Nothobranchius furzeri: one gene and its partner. The protein of the gene in region 1 purifies or fractionates together with the protein of each later gene. This does not show direct contact. Links are inferred from orthologs where the notes say so. Each region holds a gene or a part of one and is shown on either strand. Other genes may lie near its edges.

Evidence for each region.
Region 2: the proteins of rasa1a (region 1) and plcg1 purify together in Homo sapiens (affinity purification with western blotting; 3 studies listed by BioGRID and IntAct, with this or other methods). This does not show direct contact. The link is inferred for Nothobranchius furzeri from reciprocal best matches to the Homo sapiens genes RASA1 and PLCG1.

What each region holds. Positions count from the first base shown.
Region 1 is NC_091757.1:43,328,901-43,334,410, forward strand, and holds part of rasa1a (ras GTPase-activating protein 1), read right to left. Parts: intron 4,929-5,510; coding exon 4,848-4,928; intron 4,304-4,847; coding exon 4,146-4,303; intron 4,067-4,145; coding exon 3,990-4,066; intron 3,896-3,989; coding exon 3,723-3,895; intron 3,633-3,722; coding exon 3,473-3,632; intron 3,388-3,472; coding exon 3,245-3,387; intron 3,149-3,244; coding exon 3,033-3,148; intron 1,906-3,032; coding exon 1,819-1,905; intron 1,730-1,818; coding exon 1,662-1,729; intron 1,575-1,661; coding exon 1,486-1,574; intron 1,410-1,485; coding exon 1,332-1,409; intron 1,189-1,331; coding exon 1,054-1,188; intron 977-1,053; coding exon 897-976; coding exon of another isoform or gene 893-896; exon of another isoform or gene 286-892; intron 30-285; exon of another isoform or gene 1-29. UniProt on the Homo sapiens protein: Inhibitory regulator of the Ras-cyclic AMP pathway. Stimulates the GTPase of normal but not oncogenic Ras p21; this stimulation may be further increased in the presence of NCK1.
Region 2 is NC_091755.1:60,774,149-60,780,153, reverse strand, and holds the start of plcg1 (1-phosphatidylinositol 4,5-bisphosphate phosphodiesterase gamma-1), read right to left. Parts: upstream 3,652-6,005; 5' UTR 3,418-3,651; intron 3,340-3,417; exon of another isoform or gene 3,244-3,339; intron 2,453-3,243; 5' UTR 2,382-2,452; coding exon 2,168-2,381; intron 1-2,167. Other genes in the region: top1b (DNA topoisomerase 1), read right to left, coding at 5,844-5,946. UniProt on the Homo sapiens protein: Mediates the production of the second messenger molecules diacylglycerol (DAG) and inositol 1,4,5-trisphosphate (IP3). Plays an important role in the regulation of intracellular signaling cascades.

The sequences.
Region 1 (5,510 bases):
TTGCAAATAAAATATGTTTTCTAAAGAAATGATGTGTGTATACCTTCATCTTTTTAGGTCACAATGAAAAAACTCCATAAGCTACTTAACAAAAACAGTTTAATAAGTGCATGCATGCCTGTTATACAGTCTGTACTAAAAATTTACTGCTGTAAACATTTTATTTTACTTGGTTTCTTTGATTATTTGTCCTGTCTGGCCACGAGTTAGCAAAGGAAAATCTTTATTATAGCTGAAAACAATTATAACCAGGAAGAAAAAAAATCAAGTTTCTCACTTTTAAACTCATGATTCCAGCAAGAGAATTTATTCATATAAAATAACCAGATTTTTTGCAAAGACTTTGTTTCAAATCTAGAAAACAAAGACAGAAAAGGACAAATTATTTTTGTCAGCACTTTGCAGATACTGTAACTTTAAAATTCAGTCAGGAGTTACAGTATAAAAGCATCACTGCTCAGGATCCAGTTATCACTTAAAGGAAAGAGGGGCGCTGAGATGAGAACTACTCGAGTCACTTTGTGCCTGCTGGGTTTTGGTAGCAGATTGCCAAAGAAACCGTTAGAAAATCAAATATTTGGCCCTCTTGACGAAGAAAATCAAATGTACACACATCAGAGTACAAACAGAGTCCGTGAGGAAACGTTTTTCCTGTGCAGCTGTCAGTTTTGTTTTAAGTTGCTTGTTCTCAGTTGCTGCTGTTGCATAGCTGTCTTGTGGTGAACCAGACAAGATGATAGGAGAGGGTGGGTGGGAGGTACTATCAAAGGAAGACATGATGGAGAGTGGTGGATGGGTTGCCATGGTGATGAAGGAAGAGCATGCTAGGCCTCCGCAGGGCTGCACTCCAGGGGGGAGGTGAACTGGATGGGGAGACGAGAGGAGAGCAGTACTACCTGTTGCTGTTGGACATGGCATACTGAGCCTGCTTCTGCTGGAGGAGCTCGGTGATGGCCAGCAGCTTTTTCAACACATGCTGAAGAAAAAAACAAGAGTACGATGACTTCTAGAGCAAGCTTTGAACTCTTGGAGCTGTGATCGTCAGTCTCTGACCTGCTGTGCGCCCCTCTCATTGCTCAGGATGCGAAGTTCAGCTGAGTGTGCGACACAGATCTCGTGCAGCGCGGCCAGGTCCCGCGGCAGGTCGGCCCTAAAGCTCTCTATGGTGTCCGGCAGCTCTGGGACATTCTACAAACGTGACAGTTTTTTATTGTCTGCTTGTGAAGAGAGGGCCTCAGTCTCTCAAAGATACTATACCAACCATTAAAGTTTTAAACAAATCAGATATTCAGCTTAAAGGTTTGATCCAAAAAGTAAGAAATGAAACTCACCCCTAACTCATCCAAGAACATGATCATCCGATGTTTGTTATTTTTTATGAAAGGGTTCACACCCTCCATGTAGGGCTCCTGTCAATAAAAATAAATCAGTAATTAGCTAAATACTTTTGCATTTTGTGAAAGTTTAAATGGGATGAGCTCATACCTTAGCACCAAACTCAACCAGGTTGGCCAGGTTCTGGACAGACTTGGCCACCAGTGTGAGGGTCCTACCTGCTGTTGAAGATGGAGGGTCTGGAGGGGAGGAGCAAGAGTCCATAAAAACTGATTTCCATATTGCAGTAAAAACATATTCGGGATGTTTTTTTAGCACACACTTACCAGCTATGATGTTGAACATTCGGGGGTTGAGGATGGCAGGGCAGATCAGTCTTAAAAAGACAAAACCACTAGAAAAATACAGATGAGGTGGAAGTTAGTCAGCAAAAACAGCCTTTACCCATCAAAGTATTCAGATTGTTTAGAGACGCTGGTTTACCTTACAACTCTCGTCCTCATGGTGGTGTTATTGGGCCACTTCCTTTTGACAGACATCTGCAGGCACCCGTAGATATACCTCAATGTCCTGTGTGACACACACACACACACACACACACACACACACACACACACACACACACACACACACACACACACACACACACACACACACACACACACACACACAAAATCAGCCGAACTCTTTGGGTCTAATGATGAAGCAGTAAAACCATTTTTTAAAGAGCAAGTCACCCCCTACCAGGGTATTACTCCACTCCCATTTCCTGTTTGAAAAATGCAACAAATGCTGTTGCCTAGCAGACCAAAGGGGCGGAGCCACTAACAAACACACACACATGCTCACAATGACATTGTGACATCATATGGTACCAGCTAACATTCTAAGGTACCTCTTAGGCCCTGTCCACACGTAGCCGGGGATCTGCCAAAACGCAGATATTTTTCTACGTTTTGGCCTGTCATCCACACGAAAACGGAGTTTTTTCACACGAAAACGGATCTTTTTAAAAACTCCGGCCAAAGTGAAGATCTGCGTTTTCTCCGTTTTGGGTGTCTGCGTGTGGACAGACAAAACCGGAGTGTTAAGGTCCGCAACGTCACTTTCCGCGACAAAAAAATGCTGACATCACGTGTGCAACCTGTGTTTACACTAGCCGACATCATGGAAGCCCTCAAACCTGCGCTCTGTCACTACCCGATCCATCAATTGTCCAAGCGCTTTCTGCTTGTTTGTTTTTACAAGCGGAATTACTGCTCCTTGCGGAAGACCACAGACGAAGGACGAGGTTAAGAACGGGGGAAGTACTGCCGCCTACAGGTCTGGCATGTCCTTAACAACGTATTTATCCGGGTACGTGTGGACAGAGTTTGTTTTTAAAACGCGGTGGTGTGGATGCAAGTTTTTGGAGGGGCGGATATTCGTTTTTAAAAAACCCCGGCTACGTGTGGACTAGGCCTTAGCCAATAGCGATGGCAGATTTTATATCAAATGCAGTGCAGAGTTTTTACCGGACAACGACAAAACACTGACAGTTTTAGGCAGAAAATTGAAATGTGTACTAAAATGCACTAAAGTGCAAAACTATTGACTACACGAGTCTGCAGCACAATCAGATACGGATTTATATAGTTTATCAGAAAAAATAAAAGTTGATTTGAGGGTGACTTGCTCTTTAGGTGTTAGGAGCTTACGATGGTAAGATTTCAGCAGCCATGAAGATCTTCTCCACTAGCTCAGACAAAATGTTTAGAAGATGGGTCAAGTTCATGTTCACGTCCTCGTTCTTCTCCAGTTTGGAAGGGTTCAACTGCAAAGGAAGGGAGGGACACATGAAAGAGGACATTTGGACAGATAATTATTTCTATGTGCTGAATGAAGGCTACATGCAGGTTTATTCATTTACCTCGCACGACTGTTTGCTTTCCATAATCTTCAGGATGGTGTCTTTGAGTGCGTGATGGACAAAGGGAGTGGCGGTGGCCTTCATGTACTGCTCCATGAGCGTGCTGGCCAGCGTGGTAGCTCTGAACAGTGTTGTGGCTTCATCTGGGAGGATGCGCGTTACCAAGTCAAACTCAAGTTAAGCTGTTTTAAAATGACCTCACATCAAATCACGCCGTCTGCGTCTCACCCTCCATGCTGATTTCTCTGTCGTTGAGTCTCATTAATAAGGATGCTTCAGCCTTCTCATGTCTAAAGATGCGCAGGAGGAGGCTCGCCAGTAACGTCCTGTCCTGACCACACACGTGGGCCAAAGCATAGATTACATGGAAATCTTTCTGCAAAATCATCTGTAGAGGACATAAAGAGACCGTTTTGATTCAACAGCCATGCTTGCAGCCAAAAAGTTGCAATCAGAACCACTTCTCAGCAGGCCTGACCTCCTTGAATTCACTGTACTCTTCTTCAGGCATGATCTTCTCCATGGAGTATCGGGAGCGTATACGCAAGGTGCCGGGCTCGATGCCCTTCAGAGGAACGTGGGAGCTCAAAGAGTACCACTCATCATTCATCTGACCCTTATTCAAACTGTTTAGCTGGCACCGCATAAACACTGAGAGGAGACAAAGAGGAGGACAACAAGGAAAAGATCAAAATGGGACTGTAGAGTTGAAGGTTATTACTTTCTCTAATTTATGATCACTTACAAATATCATTTTCTTTGCTCTTTTTTGATTTGTTGCTCAGACTGATTTCAAATCGGTTAATTTCACTGGACAGGTCACTGAAAACACAAAAAAGGCATGTTGGAATTTTGCTAACACAATCGTGAAACGAAAGGAGACGAACGAGCACCGACTCACTCAAAGATGAACTCTTCAGTGAAGACAGGATTCTGCCCTTCTCTCGGGTGTGTTTTAGCAACCTGGATGCTGTTCAGGAAGATGTTACAGTAGGGGTTGGTGAAATACTTCATAGGCAGCTTGTGGGCCTCCTCCACATACAGCACCAGACTGCTCACCTGAGAGGAAACGCACACAAAATGAATGTTATTCGCCATAATTACAACTTCGCTGTTTTGCTCCCGACACCTGACAAATCTGGATCAATCTCTATCTGCCTCAGGATACATGCATTTTTGACTTAGCTGACAAAGAAAGCTCTGAAACTTAAAGAGTGTCAGTTATCTACGAGCTTGGCTTCCTACTTTTTACCCTCTAGATTTATGATGTCCTCGATGCCCTTACTAGATCATCACATTTGCAGATGACACTACTATAGCAGGGATCATCAATGGGAGGCCTGGATAGTGCAGAGGAGCCAAATTAATCCTCAATGCCACCCAAACCAAGGAACTAAATTAGGACTGGGCTGTTTGTTTGAGTCAATCTGTGGAAATGGTCCTGAATGTCAGATTTCAATAGAAGAACAAGACCTGTTGTAACACTGGAAATTTAAAACGACACTGTCCCCAAAAGTCCATCACTAGTCAAAATGTTCCCAATACCTTTTAACTTAGTTTTTGTTTTTTAGCTGCTTCACTATGTTTTAATATTCACACTTACCTGTCTAAGCCTCTTGTTGGAAGTGGGTGCTGTGGTTTTTCTTAGGTTACTGCAGAAATTTTGAAGACATTTCAACCAATCCTGCAAAAACAGAACACAGTCTGAAAGTTACAGCACAGTTAGCAGTCTTTGGGAACTAGCAAAACTGCAACTCATACCAGCAATTAGTTAACTGAAACCCAACAAATAAACAAGGAACATTAAGCCAAATATTAATGAATCTTGTGACATGCATCATGTAGTTATTGGCGATATTAACAGTAAGTGGTACAAATTATTTAAATTTTGCCAGTGGTAGAGATTTTAATAACAATGAACCATCGCGACTGCGCTTCAATGTTGCAGATCTGCGACTACTTTGGACGAATGCATTGCGGCTATTGCAAGCATAGATCTGGTGGAGGAAGAAAAGCTTGTATAGAATAAACCTCTAACCTTTTTTTACTGTTGGTTTTGCAGGCAGTTATTCACTACTGAAGTAACACTTAAGTTGTATGAGTGAGTGAAAAACAGGAAAAAACAATAAGTAATCAAGAAAGCAGAAAGCGATGTTTTTGTTTTTAGATTTTAAAAGTTCAGTTCCAACTGTTTTGAATTTTGTGTTTTCATATAAATTTTAGTTTAAATATCTTCATCTTTATTCATGTTTTGAGAATTTTTGTG
Region 2 (6,005 bases), on another chromosome or scaffold:
GGGCTGAGCCGTTACGGTAGGTTTTTTTTTTACTGGAGGCGATTTGTTTATTTATTTATTAGGCCATGAGTTTGTTTGCTATTGACAAATATTTTACACGTTACACACAGAGAACATCGCAGAGGTAACAATCAAGAAAAGATCTCCATCAGCGCATCTGAGCCTTTTCTCACCTCCTCCTCTTCTCGCTGCTGACAGTGCGCGCACAAGCAGCGCGCTGAGGAGGAGCTCGGAGAGCGCCTGTGACACACTCGACATCGTGCACAACAGTGCATTGTTGTTGTGGGTCAGAATTATATTTAAAAAAAAGCAGACGGAAAATGCTAATATTTATAGTGGGGGAGTGGGGGGGGGGGGGGGGGCAAATGTTTGTGTGCAAATGTTTGTGAGGGGGTGTGATTGGTTTCCAGTTAACCGGCTATTAACTGTTAAGGGGCGTCAATAACTGGTTAAAGAAATTTTGGAAAACGTGCATCCCTAGTATGTGCTCCAAGAATGAGGTCAGCTGACTACCTGAACATACTGAATGACCAGGTTATTCCATCTTCCCTGATGGCACGGGCATATTCCAAGATGACAATACCAGGATTCATCAGGCTCAGATGGTGAAAGAGTGGTTCAAGGAGCATGAAACATCATTTTCACGCATCGTTTTGTCACCACAGAGTCCTGACCTTAATCCCATTGAGAATTTTTGGATGTACTGAAGAAGGCTTTGTGCAGCGGTCAGACGCTACCATCATCAGTGCAGGGTCTTGGTGAAACAATAATGCAATACTGGGTGGAAATAAATCTTGAGACGCTGCAGAAGCTTATTGAAACAACGCAACATTAAATGTCAAAGCTAAAGGCAGTCCAACGAAATATATGAGTGTGTGACCTTTTTATGGGTCAAGCAGCATATTTATGTGCTGCTAAACAAAAGTTTTGTTTAAGAATTTATTCCAGGACTGGACAACATCTCAATTTTTTTTTAAATGTTGACATATTATAAAACAAGATAGAAGATGATGCAGTAACATATAGACATAATTGTTTATATAAACTTGATATTTCATATTTATATGGAATTATCACATCTTATTGATCATTTAACACAGATGCAGCCAATCCTTAACACTACAATCGCTAGCTTGCTGGTTCTCCGTCTCCGACTACAAGTAGTCATAAGTAGTAATATATTCTTACAAGTACGGACAATTGTAGGCAAAAAAATAAAATAAAATAAAAACTTAGAGAAAATGTGTTCTCTAGGGGGAAAAAAGCTGAAGTTGTATTTCTAGCATAACTTTTACATAAACTCACATAAATTGTCACAAAAGGATATAGGTGAACATGAGCTGAAGCTCAGAATTATTTAGCTTTTTCAGCATGTTTGTTTTGCCAAACCAGAGATTTCTAGGGTTGCATGTCTCGATGATTGCTACTTTGTGGGTCTGAAGCTGAAAGGTTTGAGAGCCACTGTGTCAGTTAAAGCATGACAGAGACCACAAAACAAAACAGACAAAAACTTGAGTGGGACACAAGAATGTACAGCACCTGCCACAGAGCGCTGGGCGAAGCTGGAGGTAAATTCCCTCTTACAGAGTATGTGGACATAAAAAGGACCACATTGGATCTGAACTTCATTTTCTATGTTGTTGGCCACAGGAAATGCTCAAAGACAGCTTCAAGAGCGAGGGAATGAGAAGTCTGTTAAAGTTAGTTGGGAAAGTCACTTGTCCAGCAGAGGTGTCGGCTAAAGCACAAATCCAAACAAAGCTGAAACTATTCTTCTAATGTGATTAGTTTCAGATAAGGTGTTAGGAGTTTCTTAAGAATGAGAATAAGCCTGCATAAATGGTTAAACAACACGTAAAAGCTTTGAGGCAACATTGGCTGACATACATCGGCGGCGCTTCCACCAAGTAATGCCAGTACGACATTCTGCACAAAATACAACGATAAAAAAGTTAAAACTTATTTAATTGTGTGTTGAGCTGTCCTGAATGCAGGTTAGGTTGTGCTATAAAAACAAAAGGAAAAAGCATCGCAACTTTCTGTATTCATCTGCCACAAACCTTTAAATTTAATTTACAGGGTGATCGCTGACCGTGTGTGTGTGTGTGTGTGTGTGTGTGTGTGTGTGGTGTGTGTGTGTGTGTGTGTTCGTTCAGAAGCTACTCACTCTCTCCATCAATTTTATCCGTTCCCCGAGTCCAGATAACAGTCCTAGTCTCCAATTTCACTTGAAAAGTCCTCCTTTCTGGGCGCTGTGATTTTTTAGAATAAAACAGAGTCAGCACAGTGCCCAGCTCCAGATCCCGGCACAGACTGTTCTCCTCCGCGTGGTCCGTCCACGGAATAGGTCCATTGGAAAAGAAGCCTGAGTTTCCAGCCATGTTCACTTCCCCTGTTTGTTTTACGTTTCCTCTTAGAACAATCTGCTCAGTCCGGGCCTAGACAGGGTTACCTACAAATGAGGAGGAGAATCCATGAAAATGCCCCAGTTATGTGTGCACTCTACACAGCTGCAAAAGGGTCAGGAAAAGACAATAATAATATAAGAAAACTGTTGCACACACTTGTACATTTATGTCAGCAGATGTGCAGACAGATACGTTCATCTCTCTGAACAGCTCTCACCTACATTTAAGGGCGCATCTTACAATATTCTCATGCAAACTTACTAAATGTTGCATTGATTTGTTTATAGAATTGTATCTGAATAAATTGTTTTCTTAGGCGACCATTTTTGACTTATTTAGAGCATTAAGAAACAATAATATGCTTTGTACGATTGACATCTTGATGTTTAATCACACAGGCTAAAACATATATAACGCGCATGCATCAAAAATATTTTAATCCATTGAATTTAGATTTTTAAGTACAGATTTTTTATTAAATACAGAGTACAGCACGATTACAGATCATAAAGAGTTACCCGTCAACCATTGGTGTAAATAAATCAGAGATCCGATCTAAACTCCTTAAATAATGATGGATTATTTATTTCACATGTGTCTGAACACATTTAGCTTTTAGGCCGGTGGAAGCAGGTATGCTTATTCTGATTTAAGCGTGTAGAAAAAACCAACAGGCCTGTGAACTGCTGCGGGAAAACAAAAGTTTTGACTCAAATGCATCATTTTGGAAATACGACAGGTGAGAAAAACAAGAAAAATTGGATCGCAGCGTAACATGAAGTGTCTATTAACTATTTTCCCAGCGTGGAAAAAGGGTCCGGTGAGGGCTACCCACCGTCCATTTGGCTGGGCCCAGGAAGAATATGGCTGGCTTCTCCCAAGAAAAAGGACAGGTAGCGGCTTTAATCGTCTCCCTTCTCTCATTTCTTCTCTTTAATGTGCGGAGAACAATTTACAAGAAAAACAACAAAAAACAACAAGCAAAAAGAGCTGTGCTGGAAGTGCCTACCGCAACAATCTCGGCCCGACCGCTACAGCACATCTCCAAAGCCTGCTCTCCTCGTCTCCCGTCGTCTTTTCCCTGCTTCTTTGCTCCACGAGCCCGGTTTCCCGTTATTAAATCATCGCCAGGGCCTCGAACGGCGCTGCTCTCCCAACGACAACAGTTCCAGCAGTTTCCTTTACTCCCCTCCAGTCGTCCATAGAGAGAAACAGGCAGGCAGAAAGCGAACCGTGGCAAGACTACGCAAGTTTGCTCTCTCTGACCAGCTCTATTACTCCCCCCACCTTCGCAGCAAACCACACTTCCGTTGCGGCCTTTCACAATAAAGCACGCATTCACAGTAAGCATTGTGCAGAAATGAATTTGCAGACCACGTTGCAAAGGATAAACGTAAAGGGGGAAAAATAATAAAACTTGTTCTACTCACAGTTTTGCCACGTTGCTCTTGCTAAATATTTTAACAAAACATGGATTTTATATATTTTTTCTAAATTCGAAGCAATTTTTGATACGCATTTTCTGTTACGTCTACAGTGAGTTATAAGAATAAAATTATCAAGTGACATGGGTCAAATCACCGTATAGCAAAACATCCCATTCAATGCCATCCTTATTTCGCAAAAACAAGACAAAACAGTACTGTCTTTTTTTCTTTTTTCAGTCAGATTTTACATATTTTCTTTTTAGTCTTTATAGTATTTACACAAACTTGCGGCGGTTTTCACATTTTCACTTCGTGTAATTTAGCTTTAAACCTTTTATAAGCAGCCATAATATTTAAATGTGGAGCCACTTATAATTTCATAATTTACACACTTTATTTATTTGACATATAAACTTGTAATCTACATCTGTAGGCATTAGACAAACTCATATATAAATCTTTAGTGACACACGAAGTCATGCTTTTGTACTGAAGTCAATTAAGAAACTTCCGGGAATTCCTTGCAGTAACAACGTGAACTTGATTATTCTAAGGAGTACCATCTCGACTATTCAGGATTAGATTTTTATTCTCAACCTTAATCACAATATCAGTCCGTTAACTTTATAATTATTTTCTCTTCACTTTCATTTTTAATGTATTTATTAGTTTTTCATTGAAAACCCACCAAAACAGAGATTAAATAGGTGAAAGTGGAATTAGTATTGGTGATTGCTGGACTTTGACCCTGTTGGTTGAATAGCTGCTGATTATCTCATCGAAGAATGTTATTTTTTCTGTTTTTATCTCTGACCATATATCTGACCACATGTAAGCAAATAAAACGACAAACAAAAGACAAACAGGACAAAGTTGATGTTTTATTCTGAAAACTACAAAGCTCAAAAGAACAACAGCTTTGAAACAATGCCAAGATTGTGTCTAAAATGATTTAATAACAAGAAATATTGATGACAAAAGTTAGAATATCCATTTATGTTAAGAAAATGTTCTAAGACAAGTTCTGCTTTATCATAACAATTTAAAAAAACAGCACACAACAAGGGTAGATGATGTGATTTTTTTGGCAATCTCCACACCCCTCCATCAGAGAGAAGAGTCTCCTTTAGCTTCAGGACACAAAACATATGCTTCAGCTTAGGCATGCCGATGGGGGGTCTGTAGGAGGAATTGGGGGGGGGGGGGGGGGGGGGGGGGGGGTTAAAAGAGCGGGGGAAAAGGAGGAATCCTGGTATGGGGGCCCATCTAATATTATATCGTCCCGGGCCCAAGCAAGGCTTTCAGCTGGCCTGCTTCAGTTATTTCATGTAACCAAGATCAACGTTACGCCCTGTTTGCTGTAAAACTGTGGAAACACACACGTGCTCAGGAGCTGCACGTGAAGAGCTTTTTGTTGAGGATGCATACGGCACGCATAAAAAAAAAACAATCACTGAAAGGTGACAAAATCCCTGAAATAAAAACTCAAGACTGCATGGATAAGAGACAACATTCGGTGTGCCTCCACATTGCCTCGCTCTTACTATCCCAGTCAAACCATTGCAGCTGAAAGTCACCCCATCCTCACCTTTCATGATGTTCCTAGCAGTCTTCCACACACAATAATTTATTATTCTATGACAATATTAGGTTCTTCCAATAGATCTGATGGCTTACAAATCTTAGAACATGTCATCTGACACAACATAATACTAATGTGTTCATACTTGTGTGGATTACAGTCAGATAGCTCCTGCTACATACACAATACTAAAAAAAAGGTTCCTAAGGAGATTTACCTCATGGCAATGTGTAGTGAAGCGAGTTTTCTCCTGTACACAGCCAGTCAGTATTTACAGCAGACTTATTAACCTGTGATCACAGCTTAAGTGCAGTCCTGGTTTCTTCTTCCACTTGCCACGCCACACAGTGAAAACATCATGACATCAGCTACAGACCACCCTTACAATCAAAGGCCTGGGTAGAAATGTAAAAACACCAAGTGCGGTTAAAACTCGTAATCCTTTTCAGCCATGTCGATCGCCCAGGCGAACTTCTCCCTCTGGGTCTTGTTGTAGATCTTTTCAATAGGGATGCCATACTTTTTACACCTGGACAGATGAAGACATGAATCAAAAGGGATCACATGGAAGGTCCAATGTCAACAGAA